Oreochromis niloticus: one gene and its partners. The protein of the gene in region 3 purifies or fractionates together with the protein of the main gene of each other region. This does not show direct contact. Links are inferred from orthologs where the notes say so. Each region holds a gene or a part of one and is shown on either strand. Other genes may lie near its edges. The genes, in order: paxip1, kmt2cb, kdm6a and pagr1.

Region 1 (7,680 bases), on a different chromosome or scaffold from region 3:
TTAAGAGACAGCAGTGTCAGATCTGTTGCTGGCAGACCAAAAACCTTGCTGGTTTAGGGTGTAAATGTCAGCATATTATCGTGACTGTAAATATGTGCAAAAATATATTTGTTCAATGCAATCTTCAAGACTAAACCGCCATTAAAGCTAGAGCTGGGCGATAAAACGATAACGATATGTATTGCGAAATAACTTTTTCTCGATAGAAAAATTAAACTATTGCGATAGACCTCATCTCTCTTGTCCTCTTAAAAAAAAAAGAAAAGAACAGCCAATCCAAATTAAGTAGCGCAGAGCCGAACCAATCACAGCCGCAGCGTCACGTCACATGACTTGTTACGTACAGCACAAGCGCCAAGGCGCACATGTGTATTTGTTTTTGCAGCCGGGCCGCCCAGGTAATGAAGGAAATGAGTTTGCCGACTAGAGAAAAATCAACCGAGAGCGTGAGCGAAGGTTACCGAAGAAAAAACAGATGATAGTTCCAATGCTGGAGAGCTTGTCGAACGGAAGGGCCACAGAAGTTCCGTAGTGTGAAGGTATTTCGGCTATTTCAAGTCTGACAAAAAACAGAGTAGCGCGCACTGTAAATTGTGCCGAAAGCAAGTCTGGAAATACAATAAAGCGGTGCATGCTCAGTCTCTGACTGAAAGCGCTAATTCGTCATTCGGCTTTTGTCAGACTAAAGTAACTGTTAAAACTGTTTGAAAAGCTAAGCTGTACAACAAGGAGAGATTGATGCTACGTCCACACGTACCCGGGTATTTTTGAAAACGCAGATTTTTCTATGCGTTTGCACCTTTCGTCCACACGTAAACGGCGTTTTCAGTCACTGAAAACGGAGATTTCTAAAAACGCCTGCCAGGGTGGATATTTTCGAAAACTCCGTTTTTGCATTTACGTGTGGACAAGAAAAACGGAGAAAACGCAGCGTCAAAGGTGTGCGCCTTTTTTGACGTCACACTGTGCGCCACGTTATTGTTTGGGTGAAATGAATTTCTACAATACTGTTACTGTTAATTGTACTCTCTGCAGTGTTTAAATGCTTACATATACACACATAGTTACTGTCCCTCCACACATACGACTCGGTTCTGTTTCTATGCCCCATCTTTGTTTACTATTTCCTACCGAGGCTTCTAGACTTCTGATTGGCCAACATTTCTACACGGTTAGGAATATATCGCCACCTGTTGCTTTGGCATGTTCCTAGCAGTGTTTTCCTTCATTTCTGCGTTTACGTGTGGACGGGATTATTTTTTAAAACGAAAACGGAAAATCTCCGTTTTCAAAAATACCTGTGTACGTGTGGACGTAGCCTGAGAATTTCCTTTTAGTTCTCAGTTTATTTGATATTGACAAAAGTTAGTCAATTTTGTCTGTTCTTCTGTAAAACGACCTAAGATTTATTTTTAGAATTAAAATTTTGTTTCTAAGTGGAATCGACAATTTAGTGGTCTGTTTTGTTTGTTCTATTTTGAAACTTAAACGCTTTAGCGGCTGCCTTTTGTGTAGTTTACAATATTTGCCTTTATCTGAAACTGAAGTCTCATGTTCCTTAAGTACATCTACCCTGTTGAACTTATTATGGGAAATAAATATTTTAATTAAAACAAGCTGCTAATTATTTCACATTTTACTTGTGAGCAACGGCACATTTAAATCTTACAAATATAGTTATTTGGCTTATATCGTGATATATATCGTTATCGCCTGAAATGAAAAAAACATATCGTGATATGAAAAAATCTTATATCGCCCAGCTCTAATTAAAGCCCCTTCGCACTGGCTGAAAATTGGTCTGTCACATCCCTTAACATGGACTGCATGAAGCACTAACAACCGATCATTTAAGAAATGAAAAAGATGAGAAGCCCTGTGCTCCACCCAAATCTAGTGTTAATATTAACATGTTTGATAATAATATTACAATTATTACCTGTGTGCCATAATAAACAAAGACGGAGCTGGTTACTGTAATTTTTCAGTGAATGATACTGATATAAGAAAAACTGAAATACTTTTTTTGATAAATTTTTTATCTCTCCTACCGTGCACAACTTCATTCTAAAGGAAGACACGGCACTGTCCACCACACCTCTCTGCTCTGAATAAGTGTAACTGAGCCTTTAACCGCAGCCAGACTTCAACACGACCCACTAGATTTTAGAATGTGAGGTTTTGCTTGGAGCAATCCCAATAAGACATCAATCCATGAGAAGACCGTAAAAGATAATTGTATTGTTTGTTCTCGGTGCAGATTCAAAGCGTCTGGATAGTGCCATTTGACAGGAAGGACAGCTCTTTACCACAGGTGTTCAGTACCAACGAGTGGAATTGCGGACACATGCGCAGTAATGGGCGAATAACAGAGGAAGATGCTGACAGTCATAGGTTGATGAAAAGTAACACAATACACTGGCAGTGCAGCGTTTCACTGCTTATCAAAAGTGCCAAGCAATATTACTGAGGCTAATCGTTTAGAAAAAAAATGCTAACAAGCGGCAACAGCAAGCCTGAGCCTCACAAACCGCAAGCTAGAAGCTAGCAGCTAACATGCAAAACTCGCAGCTAGTGCTAAAGGGCTGCGTGAAAGTGCAGTTTGAAGGAGCTTCTGCACAAAGTATTCAGTGAGCGAGCGTCACTTGAAAGTCTCAAGCACCGTTACGTGGGCTCACAGAGGTCAGCTAAAGACAGCTCAAATACTTAGCTACTACTTAGCTTCTCTTGCATCACCTGCTTTACAGTCAATGACTCTAGCTAGTTAGCACAGGCTACCAACTTGGCTAAAGCTGCTAACGTCCAGAACCTCACCTTTTGATCAATATCCCCAACCACGTAGAATTTGACATCTTTGAAAAGCTCATCGGAAACCTTGATCTCTTCTTCAGACATGACTGGCCATGAAGGTCGCGGCACTGTATGATTCAAAAACAGCCAGAAGCTCAAAGTGTAAAGTGCCTGCGCTGCAGCAGCTGATTACAGAACACCGGACACACACTAGCGCCAAATCGCTTAGCGCGCCTTGGACTGCAGCATTATGTGCTTGCTGAGGGGGGTCTGTCGCAAATCAACACTTCTGTATTCAGTCGCTTTGGTTTTTATATCTCTCTAAACATTGCATCGCTAAATGTAATTTATCGTAAATATTACTGGGGTAAAAGAACTCATATAACAGAATAACGGCGACGGGAATTTACAAATATGTTTTCAAATAGACACATAACCCCCCTGTGACGTAAAGGTTATTGTTTTGATCTAAACGTGAAACCAGATTATCTCAAACAGACTGAGCTGGGTTGACTTTAGGACAAATGCAATAGAATGCTTCGAAAAACGACAAACACACACACAAAAAAGCCTGACCGTGGAAAGCCGTTGAGAACCAAATAAAAGCATTCATTTCATCCTATATTTAATACTACCAACAGAATAAACTGTCATATCAAAAATATTGATATAAATATTGTGGCGAGCTCAGTCACGAAGGAGACAAAGGTGTATTTGGGAGCACCCGTTTATTTTATAACCGGCCCAGAACACTGCCGCTACCACCCTCCTCAGCGCGGCAACAACATAAACAACAAAAAAAGGCGCTCTCTCACCGGAAACACAGTGCCGAGAGAGCGGTCACTCGTCACCATAACAACATGACAACAAACACATAACTGTAATAACAGAACAAACCCCGAACAGCCCTGGCCTGCTACATAGCCCCCACCTAAGGGGTCAGTCGTCCCCAACAGCCCCATTACCCCACACAAAGTCCTGTAAGTGTCCGGGTGCCTTCTTCTGGCGCAAGTCACTCAGATCAGAACCTGGGGTGTCACCAGCATCCCCTGCCCCGGCGTCTGCCGGAGCGAGCGGTCGGTACGGTGAAAGCCTGTCCCGGTGCAACACCACCATGCGCCCGGGCCCGGCATGCGGATACGGTACACCACTTCCGTTAGCCGCTCCACGACCTCCGCCGGCCCTTGCCAGTGACTGCACAGTTTGGGGACACTCCTCTCTTGCGAACCGGGCAGTACACCCAAACCTTGTCGCCAGGCACAAAAGCCTCCCCCCGGCACTTGGTGTTGTAGGCCCTTTTCTGTCGTACTCCGGCGCTGGCCTGGGCCTGGCGGGTATAGTCGTGAACCACCTGCAGCCGCTCCCTCAGCCTCCTGTAGTAGTCCATCTCTGGCCCACCGTCAATCTCCGGCTCGGGGGGGACCCAAACACCAGATCCACAGGCGTCCGGAGCTCCCGCCCAAACATCAAAGCGGCAGGCGTGCACTGGCTGGACTCCTGAACCACAGTCCGATACGACCAAAGGACCAGGGGCAGATGTCGGTCCCAATCCCGCTGGTGGCGGCTGGTGAAAATGGCGAGCTGGGTAGCCAGTGTGCGGTTAAAACGCTCAACCAAGCCGTCGCTTTGCGGGTGGAGCGGTGTGGTTCTTGTCTTCTCCACCCCCAGCCACCGGCAAATCTCCCCGAACACCTTCGATTCGAAGTTGCGCCCCTGGTCACTGTGGAGCTCAGCCGGGACCCCAAAACGGGCGAACATCTCCTCCACCAGCCTCTCTGCCGTCGTCGTCGCACTCTGGTCCGGCACCGCGTAGGCCTCCGGCCACTTTGTGAAATAGTCCATCGCCACCAGCACGTACCGGTTCCCTGACTCCGTGACGGGGAAAGGCCCTAGGACGTCCACTCCCACTCGCTCCATCGGGGCCCCCACCAAGTACTGCTGAAGGGGGGCAGTGGAGCGTTGAGTGGGGCCCTTCTGCGCCGTGCAGGTGTCACAGCAGTGCACGTGAAGTTCCACATCCCGTCGACAGCCAGGCCAGTAGAACCGTCCCCTGAGGCGGCGGAGAGTTTTGGCGTTCCCATAGTGGCCTGCCCCCACCGAGCCGTGGACAAGCTCAAGCACCTGCCACCGCAGCGACTGAGGCACCAACAGCTGCAGGAGATCTCTGCCCTGACCGGGGGCCCGCCATCTCTGGTACAGGAGGCCGTCGTGGGTCTCCAGGTTGTTGTGCTGGGAGTAGTAGGCCTTCACCTCGGGCTCCTGACCCGACACCCCCATCCAGTCTGGGCGTTGCGCCGCCTCCAGCCAGGCCCCCACCTGACCCAACGTCGCGTCGGCCTCCTGCTCCCGCTTCAGCTGCTGCGTTGTCAGTGGGAGCCACCCCCTCCGCTGGCTGTGGCCTGAGCAGTAGCCACCCCCAGGGCCTCCTGAGCCCGCTCCTCCTGTCGCAGACAGTAGCGGCACTCAACGGCCATGCAGGGCCGTCTGGAGAGGGCATCAGCGTTGCCATGCTGCCGACCTGCCCGATGCTGGATCTCGAAGTCGTAGCCCTGAAGGACCTCCAGCCAGCGGGCCACCTGACCTTCTGGGTGTTTGAAGTTCAGGAGCCAGGTCAGAGATGCATGGTCAGTGCGCAGGAGGAACCGGCAACTGTGCAGTTATGGCCAGAAGTGCCGCACCGCTAGCACTACGGCCAGCAGCTCCCGCCGGGTCACGCAGTAGTTCCTCTCGGCTCGCCCCAGAGCACGGCTGAAGTATGCCACCACTCGTTCTCCGGCCTCGCCCTGCTGGGAAAGGACCGCCCCGACTCCTACATTGCTAGTGTCAGTGTCCACAATGAAAGGTTGCCGGGCGTCGGGGTAGGCCAGAACTGGGGCTCTGGTGAGGGCCTCCTTCAGCTGTGCAAAAGCCGCAGCACAGGCATCACCCCAGCCAAACGGCTGGCCCTTGTCAGTCAGGTGGTGGAGGGGGCTGGCTATCGTCGCGAACCCCTTGATGAACCGACGGCAGTAGGAGGCTAGGCCCAGGAAGCTCCGCAGTTCTTTGACGTTCGAGGGAGTCGGCCAGTCCCAGACCGCAGCCACCTTTGCGGAATCGGTGGCGATACTTTGAGCGCTGATCACATGGCCCAAGAACGTAGTCTCTCTCGCCAACAGCTGGCACTTCGCAGGGTTGAGCCGCAGCCCAGCTCAACGGATGGCGCTGAAGACCTCGCTCAGGTGAGACAGTGCACTGTCGAAGTCGCCACCGTGCACCAACAGGTCATCCAGGTACACAACACAGCGGCTACGAGGGATGTTCACGAGCACCCTCTCCATCAGCCTCTCAAACGTCGCTGGCGCATTGCAGAGCCCAAATGGCATGACCCTGAACTGCCACAGCCCCTGTCCAATGGTGAATGCAGTCTTAGGCCTTGCTTCGGGGGCTAGCTCCACCTGCCAGTAGCTGCTGCGTAGGTCGAGGGAGCTGAACCAGCTGGAGCCGGTAACGTAATCCAGGGCCTCGTCGATCCGTGGAAGCGGGTACGAGTCCTTCTCGGTGACTGCATTGAGACGGCGAAAATCCACGCAGAACCTCGGGCTGCCATCCTTCTTCCCCACCAGGACCACGGGTGCCGCCCATGGGCTGTTGGACGGCTCGATCACCCCAGCCGCAGCCATCTCATGGATCTTTTCCTGTGCCACCTGCCGTTTGGAGAGGGGCAGCCGGTGTGGGCGCAGACGGATGGGTTGAGCAGAGCCTGTGTCGATGGTGTGCTGGACCAGGCCCATCTGCCTGCAGTCTTTGTCACTGGCGGCACAGATGTCCACATTCTCGTCCAGGAGGCACCTCAACCGCTGGCACTGGTCAACGTTGAGACCTACGCTGCTGCGCTGCCACAGGTCACCAACAGCCTCGGTTGTCTCGGTCGAGGGAGATTTGTTGGGCTGAGAGGCCGGGGCTGAGGTGCGTAGAGATGACCCGGAGCCACCGGCACCCGAAATCTGCTGAGCGGCAGCCGCCCGACGCCTGTCTCGTCTGGCTCGGGTTCCCTCCGCTCGCTGCTTTTGACCGCACTGGAGGGCAAGAGTCTCTGTGCCAAGAGTGATATCCCGCTTTGCGGTGTTGACGCAGGCCCCCCAGCGGGTCAGCAGATCAAGGCCGATGATGCACTGGTCTTGAATGTCAGCAAGCCAGAAGTCGTGCACCAGCTCCAGGTCCTTCACTCGGACCCGCAACGGTTTCTTCCCCCGCATATCAGCCCTCTCACCCGTCACCGTCATCAGCTGGGTGTCGGTGGGCGACCAACCCTTCACCAATGGCCCGGACGTTCCAGGGAGCACGCCAGGTCGTATCAGGGAAATGGTGGACCCCGTGTCCACCAGGGCCTGGCATGGCAGGTCCTCAACACAGCAGCTCAGGTAGAGTCACTTGAGGTGCCCAACTCGGCCCACCACCGTGCATCGTCCTTGGAGGGGGGCAGGAAGCTGGAGCGGTGGTCCCCTCACTACACCGCTCCCTCCCTGTTTCCCTGAGGCTGCGTAGTCCTGGTCTTCGGGGCAGGTGCTGGGCAGTCACGCGCCACGTGGCCAGGCTCATCGCACTGGTAGCAGCGGTCGGTCGGTCGACGGGGACGCCTCCGGGGCACCGAGGGTTGCAACTGGCATATCTCGACGACCTCCCCTCCCCGTCGCAGTCTGCGACTCTGATTTGGGGGCAGTTTGGGGGGGCACCTGCTGGTTAGGTTGCGAGGTGAACACCAGCTCGGCCCTCTCAGCCTCAAGGAGCGCCTCACGGAGAATTTGAGGCATGGCCAGGCGGACGTGTTGACGTAGTCGCTCTGGAAAAAGTCCTCGCAGAAAAGCATGCAGGCTAAGCTCCTCACGGGCTGCTGCTGGGAACTCTGGGTAG
Region 2 (7,452 bases), on a different chromosome or scaffold from region 3:
TCATCAATCCCCATTATGTGCAGTAACAGCACTCCACATCTATATAATAATGTCCATGAGGATACATGCAGTTCCAGATTTAATACATGCGATCATAATAAACTGTGCTACATTAAACCTTTTTAAATTCAGTGCCATCCATGCACTAAACACCGCAGACAGTGTGGTCAGAAATGGCTTAAATTATTAGTTAGGCTTTTTCAGTGACTCAGAAGAGATCTCACTTTGACAAACACCACCTTTCGCTGCTAGTCTGTGGCAATTCAACATCTTTCTATCAATTATATTGATTTCAACAGCCTTTAAGACGTCGTCCAACACCAAAACTGAACACAAAATACAAACCCTCTATAATAATGTTGAGACTGCACAAACCCCAAGTTAGGAATGTTACCTCTGAGATAAAAAACCTGAAGACATTGTCTCTTTAAACACTGTAGGATCCGATAAGAAGTCGTCGGATAAGGAGCATTTTTGTACAACAAGCAAAGGCTCAAAGGTGACGAGAACTTTACTTGGGGCATCTGAGGTTAAGATCCGGTAACTACAAGGCAGTCACGACCACCACGGGAGCAGCTGAAAACATGCTAACGTTAGCTTTTGTTGACCGAAGCTTGGGCACAAAGCAGCTGCATCCAGCTAACGACTGCTAGCTTGTTGTGCTCAACTCTGTCGCCTTTTCTTCGTCGACCACAGACAAAAGTAACGTTGACGTCGACTAAATTTAACAGAAATTGGAAAAATAAACGAAGCCATTTATCATTGTTAACAACCGAAAGAGGACTGTACTTGGCTTTAGAGCCATTATCCCGTAAGACAACTTTGAAAGAGAGGGCCATCTATAGCAAACAGGTTACCTATGGTTGCAGTTAGTTGTCCAACTCATACTTGCAACTAACGCCTACGCCAAAACAGTGAAAAACGCTTCACCTCTTTGTTTTCCCAATCCTAGTGTTAAACATGTCCATGGCTCATAGAAAACTTGTCGAGCGACCTTAAAAAACACTACCCCTCCTAATAGCCAGCTTCAAACCGGGTGCAAGGCAAAGGGGAGCATTTGAGCCCAACACACACACACAAAGGCTCGGTCTATTCAATGAAACGGAACTATTCTAGGGAACTACAATGATGCACAAAAAGTGAAAACGATACGTTACACAACCACCCAGGTTCTGGTTTCTTTCTCTTTTAGCTTCCAACTAACGATAGCCGTGTGTTTTCGCACTGAATAGTGCAGTAAATGCGTTAATATTTGCTTATATGGCACCCATGAAATGTTCAATTGAATGTTCCGTTCCGTTGAATAGTCTGAGTCATGAAAGCCAAGGCGGCGACAAACCCCCAACATCAGACTGGAGAAGGATAAGGTTGGCTCAGCCTTACGTGAAAAGGTAAATTCCCAACAAACTCAGCTTACATTGAAGGAAAAGGCCAAAGAGGCAAATATAGCTTACCTTCCAGCCCTATGAATAGAGAGTTATCCTCTTCATGTCCAAAATAAGGGGGATGAAACGTCGCACTTATCACCCAGCTAGCTAGCAAGCTAATGGAGCTAGCTAGCCTCTCTCCAATGAAGCAACACCGCAGTTCTCAAAAATGCACAACGCATATCATTATATTCCAGCGCTGCAATGTTATTCCCAACTTTGCCCATTTGATGGAGAAGCGGATGATGTAAATCCAACAGAAAACCGCTTCATTGGCACACGCATCTGCGGGGATCACTTTCCTTTCTCCAATGACAGCTGTCGTCGCACGAGTTCGGCTTATATAGCTAGTTGGTGTTAGCCACCCAAGTCGACAGCCAATAATTTTACCATTAACGTGTAAACATAACGACCTCGAAATCCAAGCGGCTGCTAAAGTCAATGCTCCGTGAGCCAAACTTTAAGTAGGAATCCTCGGGTAAAGTGTAGCGACCCGCAAAGCAACAGAAAAAAAAAAGCTGGATGCCGACCGCTGGGGGTTGGCAACTGGTTCTATTTTCTTCAGCTGCGACAAGCTGCGGGACCAAGCGGCCAGTTTAGGAGAGACTCACAGTCATCCTGCCACGCAGTAACAACCGCCTCCAAAAGACATGTAAAAACAAACATTAGCTTGCCAAAAACAACATCTCGCCTGCCGCGCTGACCGAGCTGCAAAATGATTATGAAATAGCACAAAATTAAGTTGAAGATGACGCTTCGGGGCGCTCTGTAACGGTGGCCATATCTAATGATAAGTGGCACCGAAGCACAGCCCCCCCTCTCCAGGCTCCTCAAAAACTAGATCCGCCTCCTCCTCCCCCCGAACAGCACAACTACGGGCACAAATCTTTCAGAATCGACGGGGCTCGCCGAGAAAGGGATGTTTCGCGAGTGTGAGGCGTGTTTAAAAAGACCGATTAGAAGACGCAACGAGAAATAGCAGATAAACCGTTTTACAATTTCTTCAAAATACTCTCTGACCCTGCGGAGGGATATAAGCATTTAGTAAATAAAATAATGGCTAGGGAGGGCCCGAAAAGATGGAGCCTGGAGTTTTTTCCGTTTTGGAGTTGGAGCTGTTAGAAACCATTGGTGCTTGAGCTCATGCAAATCTTTGCCAGCTGTAGCTATAGAGAATCCAACAGTCGGAAGGCTTCCTCATAGCCGGGGGAAAATACACAAAAAATGGATTAACTTTAATACGCCATGGAGCTGGTGGTTTAGGCTGAATGCGAATGTACCTCAGCTGCTCCCATACGACGGCGTCTCTACTCCTGCTTTACACCCCCTACACACACACATACACACGCCCAGTATACAGATTTAAGCGTTGCATTATGTGTTAGATAAAGGTACTCAACAAACCGGCCGACCCACCGTACATTCAGGGGTTAACTTTCGGAAAAGACCCCAGGGGTCGGCTTTCAGCGGCTGTAGATAATATGTAATAGAGGCAGAGAATGTTGTGTCTCTGGTTAGATTTTGCTTTCGATTTTAAGGCTCACTTAACTACAACTTACCAGAGTTTCTTCGAGTGAAGCCCCTCAGAAAATTAACTGGAAATAAACGCAGCCCTATTCCTTTAAATGGTAAACCTTGGCACCTCCTTCCTAAACTGAGAGCTCCCCCTGCTGGCTAATCTAAAGTGTTTATTATTATTGTTATTGTTATTATTATTATCATTATTATTATTATGATTATTATTATTGTTGGTAGCAATCATTTCGACATAGTTCAAATAAATCGCGCATTAAAAAATGTGGCAAATGAAAGCAAGCACTCGGAAAATCAGAGAAATATAATGACTGTAGAGGCTTTTAAGGTGTGTATAAGGCAGATATGTGCAGTTGTATTTGCAGTAATTAACTCTTAACTCCACTGATCATCAGTGGGAGTATCTGCATGTTAGACAAGCCACCATCACTGGTATCAACACACCAAATGAGGGAGTGTGCTTTGTAAGAATGGTTTTCGTCCTTACAGTAGAATTACAGAGACAATGCAAAGCAGCACAGAAACTGTTTTCCAGGGCTTCTCCTTTACATAATCACTCATTAGTTTGTTTACTCTCAATAGTGAGCTCTGGGCTACAGAGTCAGAAATCTAGAATAATTTGTCTAACAGCACAATAGAGGTTGTGTATTATAATCCGTGTGTGTTATCACATATGCAAGAGACAGCCAAACAGGCAACCTAAAAGCATGGAATCTGATAATGCTAACAATACATCAAGCAAATATAAACGAGAACAAAGGGCAGGGAGGACTAACCTGAACATCTACAATACAGGCAAAATACAAATGGGAAGTTAGATGTGATGTGCATTTAAGATAGGTGATAGGTTTGTAGTGGTCAATATATGGACATATGGACATTGAGAAGCCCTGCCTTCAAATACAGTCTGAATTTCCAAGCACTGAAATGATCACTCTGAAGAATATGCTAGTTTTAATGATGTGATGCGTCATTTTTAAATGTGCCATTAACTCATTTATAATAAAGTTTTTGTCTGTTGATCCATTGAGTAGGATGGACCTTTGGCTGCAGGATAGGGAAAAAAAGAAGCAGTTGCCAGTCAGATGCTTTCCAGATGGTACTGCACAGTGGATCAAAATCCGATGGCACTTTTATTCATTATTCTAACAACTTTTACAGGAGCCCCTGCACCCCTGGCTGAAATTCAGGCTCCTTGTTATACAGTTGGCTGTAGACACTCACTGTTGTACCTCTCTCCTGATCTCCTCCATATATATTTGATGATAATTTGAGTCAGAAATGTTTAATTTGCTTTTATCACTCTGTTGCCACTGATTTAAGTCCAGTTCTTGTGTAATTTTGCATACCCTGTTCTTCTCTCCCTGTTCCTTAACAACTACCCTTCAATTTCTGAGGCTTCAGTGAATAGATAGATGCATCTCTCAGGCCCTGTGTCAGGTCTATGCTGGATTTGTCCTCGTTTCTTAACAATATGAATTTCAGATACTGTTTTTCTGCTGTAGAGTTTGTTTGTTTGTTTTAGGTCTGCCACTTCTTCTTCTGTCCTCGTCTTGTTCTTTTTCCTCAAATTTTTTGAAGAACACACTGCACACCATACAGACATATCCCAACCCTTTGGCAAGTCGTCTTTGAGGATTTTGCTTAATTCAACAAAAGTAATAAACAAAATATGTGTTTTTATGTCAGGCTGCTAGGAACAAAGTGTTGAAAGATACAATTTATAATGACTCTTTGGAAAGTTAACATTCAACCCTTGAGTTAGATGCCTTTTTTTTTTACACTTGAATGATTCATAGGTGAGTTTTAAGTGCTGTAACAAACAATAACATTGTTCTGGGCTGGAAGTGAGTGAAAACATTGACTGACCTTCAGAAAATTTACAAGAAAGTTTTGCTCCTTGGAAGTAAAACAAAGAAATGATGGGTTTCTCATGACCTTTTGCTTATACACATATATTTATTCAGGACTGCACAGTGGCAGGGTGTTAGTTCAGGGTTTATCTCCATCTTTCTGTGTGGAGTTTGGATGTTCTCCCTGCATTTTTGTAGGTTCTCACCAGGTAATCTGGCTTCCTCCCACAGTCCAAAAATATGCAGTTAGTGGAATTAGGTTAATTGGTGATTCTAAATTGCCCATAGATGTGAGTGGGAATGGTTGTCTGTGTCTTTGTGTTAGCCCTGTGATAAACTCGTGACCTATACCAGGTGTACCCTGCCTCTATGGTAGCTGGGACAGGCTCCAGCCCCCTCCAACCCTGAATTGAATAAATGGAAGAAAATGGACTGATGGAAGTGTATGTTTTCAGCTTTAATTCACAGGGTTTAACAAACCTTTTGCATTAACTGGTTAGGAATTAGAGACATTTTTATATGTAGTTCTTCATTTTCAAAAGGCTCAAAAGTAATTGGACAAACTAACATAATTTTAAGTATAAGAAAAAAAATCATTTTATTTAATAAGTCCCTGAGGTCCAGAACCCATGAAAATCACCAAATGTTGTGCTTCCTCCCATGAGATGCTAGAGCATAATCTTTCCTGCAGCTGCCTTCAGTTTCTGTGCGATTGTGGGTCTTTCTGCCTTTAGTTTTGTGACTGAAAAGCTGTTCTGAGATCAGGTGACGCACTTGGCCATTGAAGAAGATCGTATTTCTTTGCCTCAAGAAACTTTTTTTTTTTTTTTTTTTTTGCAGCATTCTTTGAGTGATTATGCATTTGCACTGTGAAGCATTGCCCACTCTTTTCCAGCATTTGGCTGACTCTGAGCAGTGAGTATAGCCCTGTGCATTTCACAATTCATCCTTCACAACTTAACCATCATCAATAAACACTAGTGACCCGGCTCCACTGGCAGGCATACATGGCCGTGCCCTAACATTTCCCCCAACACGTTTGACAGATGGGACACAAACGTGCTACACTTTGGATCATTTGAACTTTTCCTTTTCTTCTCCGTAATTACTGGGTACTACATGATCTTAGTTTCATCTGTTCAAAGAATTTGTAAGTTTTTTTCCAGAACTGGAAAGGTGTTGCTGAGACAGCTTAACTTGATATATATTGGACCAGGTTTTGTGAAGTCAAATTTCTGGTCAGCAGTATTTCCTGACAGCACGTAAGGATGAGACACGACACTCATCGGTATCGCTTTCTAAAATGTGACCTTTGTGTGGGTGTACGTTCACACCGTTAACCACCCATTGACCTAATTACCTTGAAAACACAAAGCTCCTGTTTAGCGTTGCATCGCTGATACTCCTGTTGGCCTAATTCCTTCATTTACAAACTCAACACTGACTGATCCACAGAGACTCAAGACTGTAATTACTAGAGCGACTCTGTACTTAATACTGATTTAAAACGACTGTTTTCGTATGCAATGAAAGCAATAATGACAGTAACATCATGTTTTATACTGGAAGTGAATTTAAATTTAAAGAGATCACACAGCTTTTGTCAAAAATCATCCTTCTGGCCAACATATAGCTTGACTCATTATACCACTAAAAGTACATGCATTTTTAGTATGACAAACACTGGCTATGTTTCAGTGTAACTGTGTGCCAGCGCAAACAAAAGCAGCACCCCCAAACCACTGATTTTTTTATTTACACCTGTGGTTATTTCTGCCACGTGTCAAAACCTCTTCCATAAAAATCCCTGATGTAATAAACAAGCAAGCCTTTCAGCTCTTTCAATGTCAAATAAAACACAAAAACCTCTTTAATATTTGTTGCTCTATACACACCAGCCACTTACACAGTGAGGAATCCTGCTTTACCACCATATGAGATATATAAACTATTCTTTAAGATTTAACAAGCATGTAATTTAATTTGCAAAGCTTAGACATGGTGGAAATGCTCCAAAAAGCTCATTAGTGTGGGATAAAGAAGTATTTTGGTATGTTGCAGACAGAGGGCAGCATGGCTCTACTGTTTCACACAACACTGGAAACAGGAACAGGATCAAATTGCTCTCTGTAATTCAACATGAAAAATGCAACCTGTCTGTTTTATTTCTACCAATACAATATATTTTACATTTTCTTTTCTTTTTTTTGCTATTGTTTATCAATTTATTCAAATAGTACCTAGTTTATAGTGTTTAATAAGGAGCATCCTGCCTATTAATGTAAAGTAATATTAGTAAAAAGAGATAATTAAATGTGCTCAAAGACAAACATTTGTGTGCAGTCTTCATAAAGATTTGTTTCTCGTCAGGTAACCGATGGCAAGGTGAAGCATTCAAACTCAGTTTGTCTTCATGCACATTTCCTCATCTTGCAATATAATTCAGTGTACATTTATGCTGTAGGTTTATATAATTATTAGCAGATAAATGTGCTTTAATACAATAAGTCACATCAGCAAAACAAAGCATAATTTCATGGCGAATGGATAAATGCTCAAGGAGCTCTTTTCTGGTTGTTGAGCTTAATTGGTGCCCTTTGGCTATCAGCATTAAGGACTAATTTTCAAGAGAATACTGT
Region 3 (6,983 bases):
CTGTACGGCTATGTTGCATGCACAACGTTGCTGCACTGTTTTTAGACAGATATAATTAACTAGCTGCACTGATCCTGAAAATCTGCGCAGTGTTTATCTGTGATCAGTTCTACTGCTCTGCAAAAAAAGGCAACCTTCCATATACTGGTTGTTTACAGCAGAGGCATATTTTTCAGAGATTCTGGCAAAGTATTTTTTCAGATAATTGACTCAGTAACTCTTCGTTATTACAAGACCTTGAGGCGACTGTTGTTGGGATTTGGCGCTATATAAATAAAATTGAACTGAATTGAATTGAACAAGACCTCATGAAAAAAAAATTCTGAAAACATTTTTCTTGTTAATGCACCTTATCTAGTGGTCTACAAAAAAACATTCCCGCATGATTCGTCACTGCACATACAACTACGCTAACCTATAGGGCTGTGATGTATCAGAAACTGGTTTAAAAATCCATGCACATTTAAACTACTGTTGTTCTGCTCACGAATTCTGCTTTTGGTGCAGCAGTGAAGTCTGTAGAGACGGTGTCAATCAGCAAGGACCACTTTTGGAACCATTTAAGCAAATTATCATATATTGGACGATGAAAAATCTACTTGTTTCTAATATTCACTATTCATTCGAACAGAGCATCGTGCAAAAAATTAGTCACCTCAAATTTTTAAATGGTAGGATGCGGAAAGAACATAAGAAGAATTGGGTAAAAGCGTAGACTCATTTTGGAAGACACAACTGTATTCAATGGGATACAATCTAAAACACCATCACCAAGAAAGACTCAACAACCAGATGTTTTAAGTTTAACGTTATGATGTTGAACGGTCTGGTTGTCCAGCTATCCAGCAGAGTATGAAGGACAGCAACACCACAAATGTGCAAAGAATGAGTGTAATGGCTCGGCCTAATCTGAAAGTAGACCCTGACAAAACAACGTCCCAAGAAACCTCTTCAACAAGAAACCCAGAAGCCACATGTTGAAGACACATCCAGCACAGGCAGCTCAACTGTAGTAACATTGACTGCATGAACAGGGTTGATGTGTTTCCAACAGACACTGTGCAATCAACTGTAAACCCTGCTTTGCACTTTAATCGTGCATCTTTGTTCTAAAACACAACGCCACCGTCGTTGTATCTTTTATGCGAATGGTGGTTAGCCTAGCCACCGCTGCTAGTTAGCCAGTCAGCTAGCAAACCTTTGCTAGGTATTTTCTCCCTATCCCCGCCATCTTGCGCCAAGTTGAGCAGCCATTATTTTTGCAAGCTTAAATTAATACATAACATTGTTTTTTTCATTCTTAGTGTTCTCCAAGTTATGCCGTAATAGCTATACGTGAGAGCAGGAAGGGGGGTAGGGGGTGGGTAACCGCTGGACAGTTAGCTGCTACATGCTAACAGAGTGAGCTGACGCACAAACCAAACTCTGCCTGCCGTTACTGAGGGGACGGACGACATAGTGCGACACTAATATTTCTGTTAACGTCTCTCGGTAAAAGTCAAGAAAGTCGGCGTTTACCGTATTACCAGGCTCGCTGTAATCCCTTTAGATTCAAAATACCGAGTTAGCTTGGTAGCAAAGTATTAAATTTGTTAGTCCTACAGTTTACAACGTGTGCTTGACTATCTAGCATTATTTAACTAGTAATAACCACTGTAATATTTTTTTTTCACCCATACACGTGCCTTCCACTTATTGTGAGTTTTGTTAAAAGAAATATTTTTGCTACGCCAAGTATGTTTTCAACACTCCATAAAACGCTATCATGTACATGGTTACCTACTCTCAACTACGGATGACACCACCGATTTGAGCAGGGTGGAGATTCCCATCTCCCTGCAATCGTACTGTAGCCCTGTCGGTTAGTTTGGGCATGTTTAATACTAAACATAGTAATAAACATAGCAGAAATACACTGGAGTTGGCTCGCTGTGTACCTGGCACTGTACGTGTTGTCTTGCGAATGCAATGATGTAAAACTGAGGGCTGGTTTGTACATTTAGCCCGCTGGTTCAGCTTCAAAGTTGGGGAAATTATGGTTTGTGTATGTCGCTGCTGGCCTTATAGCAAGAGTGGCGTTGGGGGATCTGTACCACTTATTTCATATGGGATATGCACTCGTCTGTGGAGATAACGGAGAGAGGCGACTGTGATCCTATTCTGTGGCATACCTTTAACAGCAAGGCCTTCGTTCTGGCGCCATCTTCTTGAAGCCTATGAAATCCAAACAGTGAACTGCAAGTAGAGGACAGACAACACAGGCGGTTCCGTATTACTTGGAGGGGAGGGGGGGCAATTGTTGTTTCCAACTGCGCGAAGAAAATTTATTATTGCAAAAAAACTAAGCGAATTAAACTATTTACACAATAGAGCGTCTAACCTGTCAATTCCGACCAAGCTCTCTTTCTCTTGCGCTGTTAGCTTCGGAAAGTCCTCTTCGATTTCAGTCGCTTTTCCCGACGCCATTTTCTCCTCGTCATTACCAGCAACGCCGAGACTCCGGGCAGCAGCAGAGGCAGCGGCGGTGAGCGACACTCCGCACGATTTCATGGAAAAGAACTGGGAAGATCAACGGCACCGAGCAACTCCGCCAAAATGCAGTCACAACGAAAGTGTTGCACACCTATCCAGGATTAAAACGGGGCGTAGTGTAATTCTTGCCAAATCCTCAAGGAAATGATCCCTTCAAGTTATCTTCCACACTCCTCATTGTACATCAAACTCAACGTGTATTCCAGTGCCAATTTATGCATGAAGTTGATGTAATGTTGGGTTTTAGGAGTGAGTGTTATTTGATAATATCTCAAACTTCCCCAACCATCGGCTCAAAGTTGTTGTAATTGTGTCACACAGGCAAACGCATGCCGCCACCTTCGACACGCCCTCTGCTCATTGTGCCCAATCAGCGCGCGGCATCCGCGGTCACGTGGTGGTCTCCTGTTGACGTGTTGCGAACACGCGCACGTACACATCAAATCTGCTTCCAAGTCCCGCCTCACGTCCTGCGATTGGTTCTTCAGGCTGTATTATGATTACGTAACTGTTTTTGTAGGTAACGTATTGGTTAAAATAGCTGTCATATGTGCCAAGGGTATTTGTTGCAACGTCGCACATGTACTTTTTGACTGATAGATGGATAGATAGATGGATAGATAGATGCTTATTAGCTCAAGAAACGGGGAACTCATTTTCATCCAAATAACACAAATAAACATGAATTTAAAAAATCAACGACTGAATAAACTGTGAAATGAACTCCATTGAAAGCAAACTAAAGTGACTAAATAGTCCAGAAAACTCTTAACTATTCCCTTTTTGAAGTTTTGTGCCGTGTTATCTATAATATTTGTGTTTTAAGCTTCAGGAGGACGTCAGCGAATGAACACAATGCCTTGCTGTTCCAAAAAAGATATTAAAAAATCCCCATAAAAATAAAAGCTATATAAAACACAATAATAATGTTTTAATATATTTACTATTTGTTTCTTTATTTTGTTTGTCTGTTTTGTCTTTCTCTACCACTAGGCACACCGGGTTATTTCGAAACAAATTCATCGATTTGGTCCATAAGCCACGGCAGGATTTCTTCTGCTAATTTAATAGTGCAAAAATAACCTAAATAAATGAAACCTGTTATTGTCAGGAATTGTTTTCCTAATATCGGTTAGAAAAATAGGGGGTTAACTTTTAGAAAACCATCTCCACTTGGAATGCACTCATTTAGAGTTATTCTTAAAAAACAAAATAGCCACGACCAAAACACCTTTAGCTGCCCATACCTGTGTCCTAACAACCTTCAGTGCAGTGTATTGGAGGTCACGCGAAACTTGGATGGAGTTGCGAGACTGGCAAAATCTCCAAATGTTTCATAAGAAAGAAAAACATGTATTATTGTTATCATTATTATTATTATTATTATTACATAACGTATAACGTTACATTATATGTAGGCCTGCCCATGTCTCGGTTTCTTTTTCACCGTCAAATTTATGCAAATGACGCCGGACGTGAAGGCAGCTGAGGACAGACCAGTGCACTCCAAAATGGCGAATAGCAAGGGTAAGGAGGCCTGTAATGTTATTGCATGTTGTTCGGATCCAGGACGGTCTCGACACCGTGGGTGCATTTAGTAACGTTCGCGTTGCTGCTACGAAGCCTTGAAGCCGTTTTCCCGTTTCCTCTGTGGCGCTGACTCTCTCTTGGGCCGCACCATTTACAGCTAGCATTAACTTTTCACCTGTTAGCTTTAGTTGTGTAGTCATGCTAAGTTATTGTTAGGCCCAGGAATTTTAGTAAGTTGTAATGGAGCCCGTAATGAAACTATTGGTATCTGCCTTTGTCATGATAGATCTTGTTAAGTAAAAAAGCAGGAAACTACTACAGTTTATAGTTGAGTAATGGATAATAGCGTCTAGAATCGTGTGTTGATTTTGTAGCATTAATGTAACTGTGCTTGTAAGGCTTGTCGCTGCTGCATTCATTGTTATTTCATGCTAGCTGTCTTTTATTTTTCCTTGTATGTACACAAGTGGAAGATGAGATTTACGACAAGGTCGTGGATCTGACAGAATACGCTAAACGTCAGCGATGGTGGAACCGCCTTTTCGGAAAGAATTCCGGCCCCATAGCTGAAAAATACTCTGTGGCTACACAGATTGCAATAGGTGGAGTGAGTGGATGGTAAATATTCTCATTAAAATGCATTATGCTGCCTTTAGCGTTCCTAGTTAAGCACTTCATGTAGTTGTAGTTCTAGTAAATATGAATGGCTGAGAAACACCCTAACGCAAAATTAGAAAATCTCAAGGTTAATTTAGATGGTTATAAATTGCTCTGTGTCTCATCTTGTTTACAGTATATTTTCTGTTGGCTGATTGGACACGGATGTCTTTATTTCTTAAAGTACTATGCAAAAATCTCTAGCCACCCCACATTTCCTTTGCTAGGAAAATATGAAATGTGTGCAGACATTATTTGAAACATGCAAACATATATGTCATACAGTATATAAAGCAAAACAGAGTTTATACAATACTAATGACCTTGAAAGTGATCAAGGTCATGAGTATTCTTCAACAGCCTGAAGTCTCCTCAGAAAGCTTTCGTCTAATTCCTTTAAGCACTCTTCAAAGATAGTTCTTCAAAGTTCTCCTTTGAATGCCTTTTGTTCCATTCTTTGTCATGATGATCTCACACTGCTTCAGTAATGTTGAGGTCCAGGCTTTGCACAATTGGTGGCTGACTGCGTTCCACCGTGTTTTTTGTTTGTTTTTTGGAGGGGGGGGGGATTCTATCCAGGTATACCTTTAGCAGCGTGTATGGCAGCAGTTTCATTATTTAGTTTCAGTTTCCAAATCAGACACTTTGGAGATGACATTGCATGGTGGATCAAAGAACTTTTACTGTGTTCATGAATTTATTACTTTTGACAAGCGATTTACAATCCAGTTCTTGTGTCATTTGGCATACCTCAGAACTTGGAAAGGAAAGTCCAAAGAAAAAACATTAAAAGAGCATCAGAAGGGCTGGAGAGCTACTGCTCAAGGCCACTTTAAAAAATGACCAGGAGGCCTGGCTCCTTGGAAGCAAAATATATTGAAATGAGGAGTAGCTCAAAACGTTTTGCACAGTATTGTATTACATATAGTGCATGCTCATCTCGCTGTTCACATGTTACTGTAGCAGAGAGACAAAATTGTATTTTGCCATCACTTAAGAAAACAAATTTCACACTCCCAACTTTATAACTCTGCAGTTAAGGTATCTTGCAAACAGTGTCTTAGTTATACTTTATCAGTGGGACCTTTCACATCATGCAAACCTTATGACAGTGAATGGCCACCTCACAATGGTCATTGTTAGGCTAACTTGTGTCATTATTATTGTTAGATCAGCTACTATGCTCTCTTTTCAATTTGCCTTAGGTGTGCAGGTTACCTCTTCCAGAAGGTTGGAAAAGTTGCTGCTACTGCAGTGGGGGGCGGTCTTCTGCTTTTACAGGTATTATTGCATCGCCCTGCATAAATATGTGCAGGTTAAGCTTTTCAACACGTTGACATTGTTTTCATGAATCTGTCTTTCTTCAGGTAGCTAACAACAGTGGTTATATCCAAGTGGACTGGAAGCGAGTAGAGAAGGATGTCAACAAAGCTAAGAAGCAGTTAAAGAAGGGAACAGATCAGGCAGTCCCTGAGCTCAACACATTTGTTGAGAAGGTAATTTTTTTGTGAGTTGTCTGGTTGATTGTGAGATCATTTTCACCCTCCCGTTACAATGAAAAAGCGACTGTGTCATATGAAATATGATTTGTATCTTTCAGTCCAGAGAGTTTGTGAAGAAAAACATTGTCGTCACAAGTGGCTTCATCGGAGGATTCCTTCTCGGCCTGGCATCTTAGGACCTACCGAATGAGAAGAGTGTATTATTGGGGGGTTTTTTGTGTTATGTTTCTGATGTTATAAAAAGCTATAGAGGATAATTATAAGTCTTTGCTTATAATTAGCAATATTATAATTAAGTTCTCAAGAGTTTTAACAGCAAGTGACCAACAGATACCAGTTTAGCTTGGAGCTCTGTGTTTTTACTTAAGCTGCATTGCAAACCCTTCTGTTTATAACATCGTACTTGCAAGTATTTTTGATATAGACGTGGGACTTATTTATTAGCCCAGAATGGCCGTCTTGAAACACTCCAGTTTTAACGCCAAATAATAATACATATCATGGAAATTAAATTAAAAAAGGAAACCCAACAGAATGTTTCTGTTATTATGTATTTATTAAAAAAACGGACAATGTTCCAGAAGGAAAGATTTCCCACTGTGGTTGTGCACAGTTGGGGCAAATAGATTTCAGTTCACCTACACATGGCAGGGGATGCATGTCTTTAGGGTATTCTATCAGTGCCACTGTTAATTTTTATATTTTGGTTCAACACGTTATAATCAATCATCTTCAAAGTAAACACTGGGTTACACCAGTCTT
Region 4 (7,914 bases), on a different chromosome or scaffold from region 3:
CTCTTGAAGAGATCTCTTCCTGTGCGCATGATGTGCTCCTCAATCTTGCGGTGTCGCTTCATGTCTGACAATACTTTGTCCAGCCGAGCTTCCCTTCTAACAGAGGAGCGGGCAGAAGATCCTGGGAGACAACAGGCAAAAATCATTATTAATAAAAGAAAAAAACCCTCCAGATTATAAAGAGACACCACATATAATTGATTGTGACATACCTGGAGTCCTGCGTCGGCTTAGGAAGGCATTTTTTGGAGTGGTTTGCATTTGCTCCTCATCAAAGTCAAACTCAGTTGGAGTTGGAGGCCTGAAAAACAAAACATGGTTAACAACCAAAAGCACTCAAACCAAACTCCTTAATCCTGAAATGACCAAAAGGAAAAGCAACACTGACTTGCGTTCCCTCTCCTGCCTCTCCCGTTCCTTGGCTGCCTCCTCCTCTTCGTCTCTTTCGGGCGAGGAGGTCTGTTCAGGCGTGGGGGGCCTTCTAGGAAGGGGCACAAAGTTCAATTCCAGCATCTCCCCTTTAGCGAGGAGCTCATAGAGTCTTTTGATCTCTGCGGGAGGAGGCACCCAGTTTTTGGGGTCCTCCATTTCCTCGTCGCTGTACGGAAGCTCCCAGTCACCGTCCGCCTCTTCGGCTTTCTGTTTTCCATCTTCAGCCTCCACCCCTGCGTCTGCCTGAGATTCATCCTGCTGCGCCTTTCCTCCCACTGCATCTGTGTTCCCATCTGAGAAAAAACACGTACACAGTCAGTTTAAAATCTCTTTTAAAAACAATAATGAAGCGACATTTTATTGTGGATTAACCCTATACCTGGCTTTGATGTAGCTCCTCCCCCTTAGTTTAGAGCTACGTGCTTTTGTTTTGATTGGCTGCCCCTCAAAAGGTCGGAACAGCAGGTCGTGTGGCTGATGTGTGAGGCGACCACATAAAGAATATTGGCTTCCACTGACAGATCCATGTGTAGATTGTAGGCTGGACTTTTGAAGGGGATTACTTGTACATACACTGACCTCAATATGTGAAAGTTTAGCCATGTTTAATAGGAGCAATCAGCACTGCTAAAAGTACTGTATGTATGACAGAAAGCAATACATAATAGGTCCAATTTAAACATCTTTCAAACACACTGCTTTGACTTCTCTGTGACAAGCTGTACGTAGGGACGGACTGATATGTCAACAAAACATCAACATCAGACCCACTGATGGGCATCGGGGTGCAAATAGCAAAACTATTGGAAATCAGTGGTGACATTTATTGATGGCAGGAGCCAACATTTCTCTCGTGTGTAATATATTCTCTGCTGCAAGTGATAAAATAGCCAAAAGACTTGAAGTGATCAAGTACATCAGGGCACAGAACAACACAGACTTTTCTAATGAAGGCTGAATCAGATACTGAGCAATTCTGGCTTTACTGAATAGTTTCATAGAAACTATTTTTTAACTTACATTTTTTTTTAATTAAAAGACCTCCAACTTTCTTAAAGTTCACAATTGGATTGATTATAATATTAATATTTTGTAATGTTTTTTTGTTTTTGTTTTGTTCAATAGATGGTTTTTGCATTTTATTGCCGTCTTTTAACCCTGGAAAACAGTTTGGACGACTATGTTGCTTTTTAAAGTGCTCTAGATTGGATAATCTAGGTATAATGACGCAGACTCAAAAAGATACTTAATTTCTGTACTTTAAATATACATCCCCATCATAAATCCAGTTGACTACAGTCTATATACCATATATATATATATATATATATATATATATATATATATATATATATATATATATGAGCAAATACATTACAGTTAAAAACAGAAACATCAGAAATCACTTTTGGACACAACACTGGTGCTCACAGCTTATATCTAGTCCCAGCAGTCTGTTTGCTTTTTCTTTTTAACTTTCATACAAAGAACTGGCTCAGGGTGTACCACACCAATGCCAACTCCAGCACCACACCCACGCCAGACACTGGGTGAATAAGCATTTAAGAAAATGGGTGGATATATTCACTCATTTTGCCTTTTGTGCCAATTTGTTAAAATGTAAAGACTTAGGAAGCCGACAAGGTAAGTACCTACTAATAAACCGGTAGATAACTGACCGTGTTTCAGCTGTGCTTTGCTTCCTTGTATTTCCTGCACACTCCTGCATGACACTTGTGCATTTGTCCTTGGTGATACTTCCTACTCACACTAGTTACCTGTACAGGACATGCTTGTCCACACTGAAGACTTTTAACCTGATAATGAAACTTCCTGTCTACTGTGCGTCCTTTCACTACACCTGCCATGCATGCATCTATCTTTACACGTGTACTGTACCTGTATCCTCCTTGGCTGTTGCGTCGTCCTCCTCTGCGCTCCCTGCCATCTCCGTATCCGGTTGCTCCGTGCTGTCCTCGTCCTCTTTGCCCTCTGCAGCTTCCTCTGAGTCCTTCATGTTCAGAACCTCTATGCCCTCTTTCAGTGAGGTGTCTGTGGCCTCAGCTTGCATGCTTCCTGCTGGTGAAGTTTCTCGCAACAGATCTGCTGAACAGAAGCCTGCCATTTAGATCTAGAAAACATTTTAGTGCAGCTGAAACTAACTTAAGGTATACACAAGTGTGTGGGATAAGAGGATTTTTTAGAGGCTATAACTTTTAGCCGTAGCTGTTTACTTTTGTTAAAGGATAAGTGAACGTATAGTCAACTAAAACAAGCGGCTAGCTAACGTCAGGCCTAACCGCCAGCTATTTCTTAAACAGTAGTTAGTCTGCTAATAACATACGTGCCTTAAATCGTCATTAACGGCTTCTTCCGGATCAGTGCTGCTGTGAAAGCGATTAAAACGTTGAGTCAAATACTTTTCCAGTAAAAACTCCCCATGAGAGTCACTAAGTATAACAAACGCTTATGCACAGACGTAAACATAGCGCCATTTTGGCTGTAGGGATCTGCCTGAGCCTCTGCACCGCTGGGGCGGGGGGAGCTTCACCTCACTGTTGATACAACGTCATGTGGATAATCCACACTCACTACGAGCGGACACTCCAGCAGTAGAGGGGAATGGTTTGGAGATCTACGCTCGACGCGACTTCCTGCACACTGCGCAAGCGCGAGCAGGTCTTAGGGCAGACAGGGCGAAATTTGTATTAGCGTCCTTTGCTTTTCTGTTCATGTTGTTCTTGTTGTTTTTAAAGCGTGCGTATATGTACGTTTGTGTAGCGTAAACTTGACAAATGTAATCAGAAGAGCCACAAATCTCATTAATATGGACGCATGACGTAAAACAGGCGCCAGTATTTGTGCGAGTTCTGATTGGTTTACGGCCGTTTCCGGTTTCTGCGCTCTGCATTTGAAAAAGTGTTCGGTTAGTTCCTCAAGTTTTTAAGGGACGCGGTCGCCATTGTTAAAACCAAGCGTCCGAAATGTTGCTGGAAGGACAATTTAGGGCATAACAAAGGTGTGGCTTGTCTCGGACATTCTCACATAATATCGGTAAGCATATAGCAGGCTTTGGCTTTGGGACTATTATTAGCCAGGCGAGAAGCATCCGTTCGCGAGGGAAGTTATGACTGAGCTATCCAGCTTTAGCTTGTTATTAGCCGAGAGAGGCTTTCGTCAGTAAGGAAAACACAGCTTATCGGGAGAGGTTTCATTTGAGTGGCATGCGTTTTCATGCAGTGCTGTTATAAACAAACTGTCTTTTTCAAGCACGTTCGTGGCTAACTAGTTAGCTTATTTGTATTTTTTTTGTACTTTATTCGGGCCTTTCTTTGTGGAAGCGCAATAATGGCGACGCGTGTGGCGGTATCAGATGGAGGAAACAAGAAGACATCCAGGGTCCGCGTAGCTGTTCGTCTGCGACCCTATATGAACAAAGAAGACGAGAAAAGCGAGGGACCGTGTGTAAGAGGCCTGGACTCTCAAAACCTGGAGATAATCAACTGGAGGAACGCCACAGAAACTGTTAAATACCAGTCAGTGCCTTCATAATAATCTGTTATGTATATATGTATGTCGGTAAAGATTTCAGTGATTGTCTAGCTGTAAATATTAAGAGAGCTGTGGTTGTTGTTGTTTTTAGCTTCGACGTTTTTCATGGTGAACAAACGACACAGCAAGAAGTTTTCCTCTCATCAGTGAAGCCCATTCTGCCGCACATCTTGAACGGACAGAATGCCAGTGTGTTTGCTTATGGACCAACAGGAGCTGGTATGTTGAAGCACAGTCTACAGGGTTTCAAGAAACGTGTATATTAGCTGTGCACATGCATTTATAAATTAAGCTGTTAAGACTTGAGAGAGGTCACAATGATTTTTCTCATTTTGTTTATAGATATTTTGGCTCCCCAAAGAGACCATTTTCTAACTCTAGGCTTTTGCATCCTCTTTCACAGGTAAGACCCACACTATGCTGGGGAGTTCAGAGCAGCCGGGTGTGATTCCCCGAGCTGTTCGTGAGGTCTTCAAGCTAGTGAAAGCCAAGGATGAGAGTGATGGATGGGACTACAGCATTGGCATGTCGTATTTGGAAATTTACAATGAGAAGGTATGGTTGTTTAAGTAGACACAGCGTACAATTACTTGTGACTTTCTGTTCATGATTAAGTAAAGTAATCTAGATGGTGGTCGTTCAAGTTGAGGTGTTAGAAAACATTGTCTTTACTTTTAAGAAGTGTGTTTCTGCGTTTTTTAGCATTATAGAGCGCGGGGGGGGATTCGTGGTTGTTGTGTTTTTGTTTTTTTCTAGATTTAAATGGATCAAATGAACTTTTGGTACTTACTTGTTCCAAAGGTTGTAAAATAGCCTCAAATGTCTCCAAACAGCCGAGGTATTGAATCTTGGTTACCTTAATTGACAGAACTCTATGAATTTCCCTGTTATGTCACTTTAGCAAGTGAAACTTGTAGTGTGGTCAATCTTTAATACCTGATTAAAACCCTGTATTGAAAATAAAACTGCCTTTATGTTCATTTTAAAAGTGGAAATATTTCCGTTTCTAATGGATAATTCTCTAGAAATTCTATTAATACCCATAGAAGATTTTATATTGACCAAAAACTGACTCCCTTAATTCTGCAAATTTAAGCCAACAATATTATTATGCAGATGGTGTAGTCCAAACTAAGATGTTTTGGCACATGCAGGGTAGTCTTGGCCCCACCCAGCAGAGCTGTATGTGAGAATGCAGATATCTGACGCAGTCGGATGGGATGTTAGCCAGCCTTTAACCTGCCAGCTCTCTAATAAAAAAAACAGTGTCAGATTGGACAGCTCTTACCTGCTATATTCATGCAGTTCCCTTTTGTAGACACCATCCACTACATCTCGGTAGTATGAAACCTTTTGAAGCAGACTTATTTCCTGTTGCGCTACATGTCAAAATGAACAAATGTGGAAAATATCTGAATTGGTTTACCTAAAATTTCATGTGTGAAAACATCTTCAGCCTACCCATTCAGTTTCAGATCACTGGCCCTCAGCATGATTTAATAAAACAAGGGGGGTGCACATAGCTTTTTAACCTCCAGTCTTCTTGAATTTACTGCAAAAGCTTCTAACTGCATTTTCCACAGCATGTCCTCTGAACCTTTAAATGTACCTTTTTTCTTTTAGTGTGCATCATTCATCAATTACCGCTTTCCTTTCTTGTTCTCTCAGGTGCTTGATCTTCTGTCGCCAAACTCCCATGATTTACCCATCAGAGAGGACAAAGACAAGAACATCCTTATCCCTGGCCTGACACATATGAACATCACCAACTTCGCAGATTTTGACAAACACTTTGTCCCTGCGACGCTCAACCGTACTACAGCTTCTACTAAGCTAAACCAGCGTTCCAGCCGCAGCCACGCTATCCTTCTCATTAAGGTTTGATGGTCTTGGTGTAGTTTATTGAACTACTTTATTCGTTAGTGTCAAATGGACAGCCAGACAGCATCTTAAGCAGGTCGTGGTCTCTGAGCAGTAGGCCAGGATTTGGTAGCTGGTGCTGAAATCAATTCTCTTTTGCAACAGTCCCACTAGCAACTTCTGTGCTTCCTGGGATTACTATGGGAGAGAAACACAAACCATTATCTGCTGTCCTTTTTCTTCATTTATTCGTTGTTTTTTCCCTTTATTGTCATGCTTTTTCATAAAATGTAATCCTCTTTTTTTTTTTTTTTTTTTTTTTTTTTTTTCTTTTTCTTCTCCTTTCACCCCATGACTCTTCACCACCTCCTTGTTTTTCTTGCCTGACTTCTGTGCCGCTGCTGCTTTTCTGTTCTTAATCTCTGCAATGACATAGGTTGTGCGGACTCAGCAGCAACTTCCCCACAGACAACAGACAGGCAAACTGTACTTGGTCGATTTGGCTGGCTCAGAGGACAACCGCCGCACCGGCAACCAGGGCATCCGTCTGAAGGAGAGCGGTGCCATCAACCTGTCTCTCTTCACACTCAGCAAAGTTGTGGACTCTCTAAACTCAGGCACTTCGGTGCGCGTGCCGTACAGGGACAGTAAACTGACACGGCTTCTGCAGGACTCTCTGGGAGGCTCGGCACACTCCGTCATGATCACCAATATTGCACCAGAGTACAAATATTATTTTGACACCTTCAGTGCACTCAACTTTGCGGCCAAATCCAAGCTCATTGTGAACAAACCCTTCACCCGTGAAACTGTGGCTGTGCCTGTGCTGCCAGGTGAGTGAAACTGGGTGAGAAAAGCACCCACTTTTTTCAGTCATGGGACACTAAAGTATAAAAAGGCATTTTTATTGGGAAAGAGGAAGAGTCTTGTCACGATTTGAGCCAAAGGCCAACAGGGGGCACCCATGTCACATCCCAGAGGATGGTGGCTAACAGTAAACAGCTAACAGTAAGCATCCATCTGACCCAGCAGTTTGGGTCAGATGGATGCTTATTTTTGTTTTTTTGTAAAACTGGTGCTCCACTTGCATTTTTGCCGTTCTGATGTTCTCTTTCCTACTGCATTCTCTCAAAGATGGTCCTCATGTTTACCTGCTGCTGTTGGCTTTAATTCAAGCACTGCAATGCAACTTTGACTGATGCTGTGCCATTTTTGTCTGAGTTGCTTTACACTCTAGAGAGCCCCCACAGACACCGTTGCTACAGTGCACTGAATACTAAACTGTTAATTTTCCATCTGCCTTCGTCTTCAGTGAAGCGGTCCAGAGAGGAACGAGAGACAGGGGGGTCTGGCACTGAGCCACAGAAGAAGAAGCATAAAGAGGAGAAGAAATCCGAACACGATGGTTCCTCGCCCTCTACACGTAACCACAGGTTATAGACCAGACTGATTATTTGTTTGGCTTGTATTATGATGTCTGACTGAATTGAAAGGCTTTGTGACGGAGAAAAATGCTGTTGTGTGTAGGTGTGTCTGGAATGCCTGTAAACATGACTTTTTGATACCTGACTTGTTTCAAAGCCCCGATCGTACTGTCTGCCCCATTTTTCAGCCTCTCTTTGTCTGATATGATTTGTTTGTCTGCCTCTTCAGTTCGTCAGACCAGTCACTGATGGGTAGACTAATAGCTTTGGAGAAGAGAACGATGAGCTCCCAGGACAAAGAGAGACTGGCCATGCTTAAAGAGATCAAGGTGAAAACGCACACCTACATCAAACCCTGAGCTTGTCCACATGGATGGCTAACTTGAAGAATGCTGTTTAGTTTAGAGTTGCTCTAAGCAGTGCTATCGAGAGGACAGTGAGACAGCATCTTAAGCAGGTCGTGGTCTCTGAGCAGTAGGCCAGGATTTGGTAGCTGGTGCTGAAACTAATTCTCTCTTGCAACAGTCCCACTAGCAACACCTGGGCTTTGTGGGATTACTATGGGAGAGATACAAACTGTCATCTGCTGTCCTTTTTTATAAATTGACATCTTCATGCATGCATACATGGAAATATCAAGTTGGAA

What was found.
Region 1: the proteins of kdm6a (region 3) and paxip1 purify together in Homo sapiens (affinity purification with mass spectrometry; 6 studies listed by BioGRID and IntAct, with this or other methods). This does not show direct contact. The link is inferred for Oreochromis niloticus from reciprocal best matches to the Homo sapiens genes KDM6A and PAXIP1.
Region 2: the proteins of kdm6a (region 3) and kmt2cb purify together in Homo sapiens (affinity purification with mass spectrometry; 3 studies listed by BioGRID and IntAct, with this or other methods). This does not show direct contact. The link is inferred for Oreochromis niloticus from reciprocal best matches to the Homo sapiens genes KDM6A and KMT2C.
Region 4: the proteins of kdm6a (region 3) and pagr1 purify together in Homo sapiens (affinity purification with mass spectrometry; 5 studies listed by BioGRID and IntAct, with this or other methods). This does not show direct contact. The link is inferred for Oreochromis niloticus from reciprocal best matches to the Homo sapiens genes KDM6A and PAGR1.

What each region holds. Positions count from the first base shown.
Region 1 is NC_031982.2:752,221-759,900, forward strand, and holds the start of paxip1 (PAX-interacting protein 1), read right to left. Parts: upstream 3,022-7,680; 5' UTR 2,896-3,021; coding exon 2,815-2,895; intron 1-2,814.
Region 2 is NC_031982.2:16,678,380-16,685,831, reverse strand, and holds the start of kmt2cb (histone-lysine N-methyltransferase 2C), read right to left. Parts: upstream 3,007-7,452; 5' UTR 2,987-3,006; intron 2,234-2,986; exon of another isoform or gene 1,455-2,233; intron 1-1,454. UniProt on the Homo sapiens protein: Histone methyltransferase that catalyzes methyl group transfer from S-adenosyl-L-methionine to the epsilon-amino group of 'Lys-4' of histone H3 (H3K4).
Region 3 is NC_031987.2:31,115,258-31,122,240, reverse strand, and holds the start of kdm6a (lysine-specific demethylase 6A), read right to left. Parts: upstream 3,020-6,983; 5' UTR 2,551-3,019; coding exon 2,381-2,550; intron 2,236-2,380; coding exon 2,172-2,235; intron 1-2,171. Other genes in the region: fundc1 (FUN14 domain-containing protein 1), read left to right, coding at 3,990-4,059, 4,530-4,680, 5,925-6,000, 6,087-6,215, 6,320-6,397. UniProt on the Homo sapiens protein: Histone demethylase that specifically demethylates 'Lys-27' of histone H3, thereby playing a central role in histone code. Demethylates trimethylated and dimethylated but not monomethylated H3 'Lys-27'.
Region 4 is NC_031973.2:16,564,403-16,572,316, reverse strand, and holds the start of pagr1 (PAXIP1-associated glutamate-rich protein 1), read right to left. Parts: upstream 3,017-7,914; 5' UTR 2,781-3,016; intron 2,536-2,780; 5' UTR 2,504-2,535; coding exon 2,332-2,503; intron 726-2,331; coding exon 389-725; intron 302-388; coding exon 213-301; intron 122-212; coding exon 1-121. Other genes in the region: kinesin-like protein KIF22, read left to right, coding at 3,781-3,968, 4,076-4,203, 4,388-4,539, 5,653-5,862, 6,281-6,677, 7,157-7,277, 7,498-7,597. UniProt on the Homo sapiens protein: Its association with the histone methyltransferase MLL2/MLL3 complex is suggesting a role in epigenetic transcriptional activation. However, in association with PAXIP1/PTIP is proposed to function at least in part independently of the MLL2/MLL3 complex.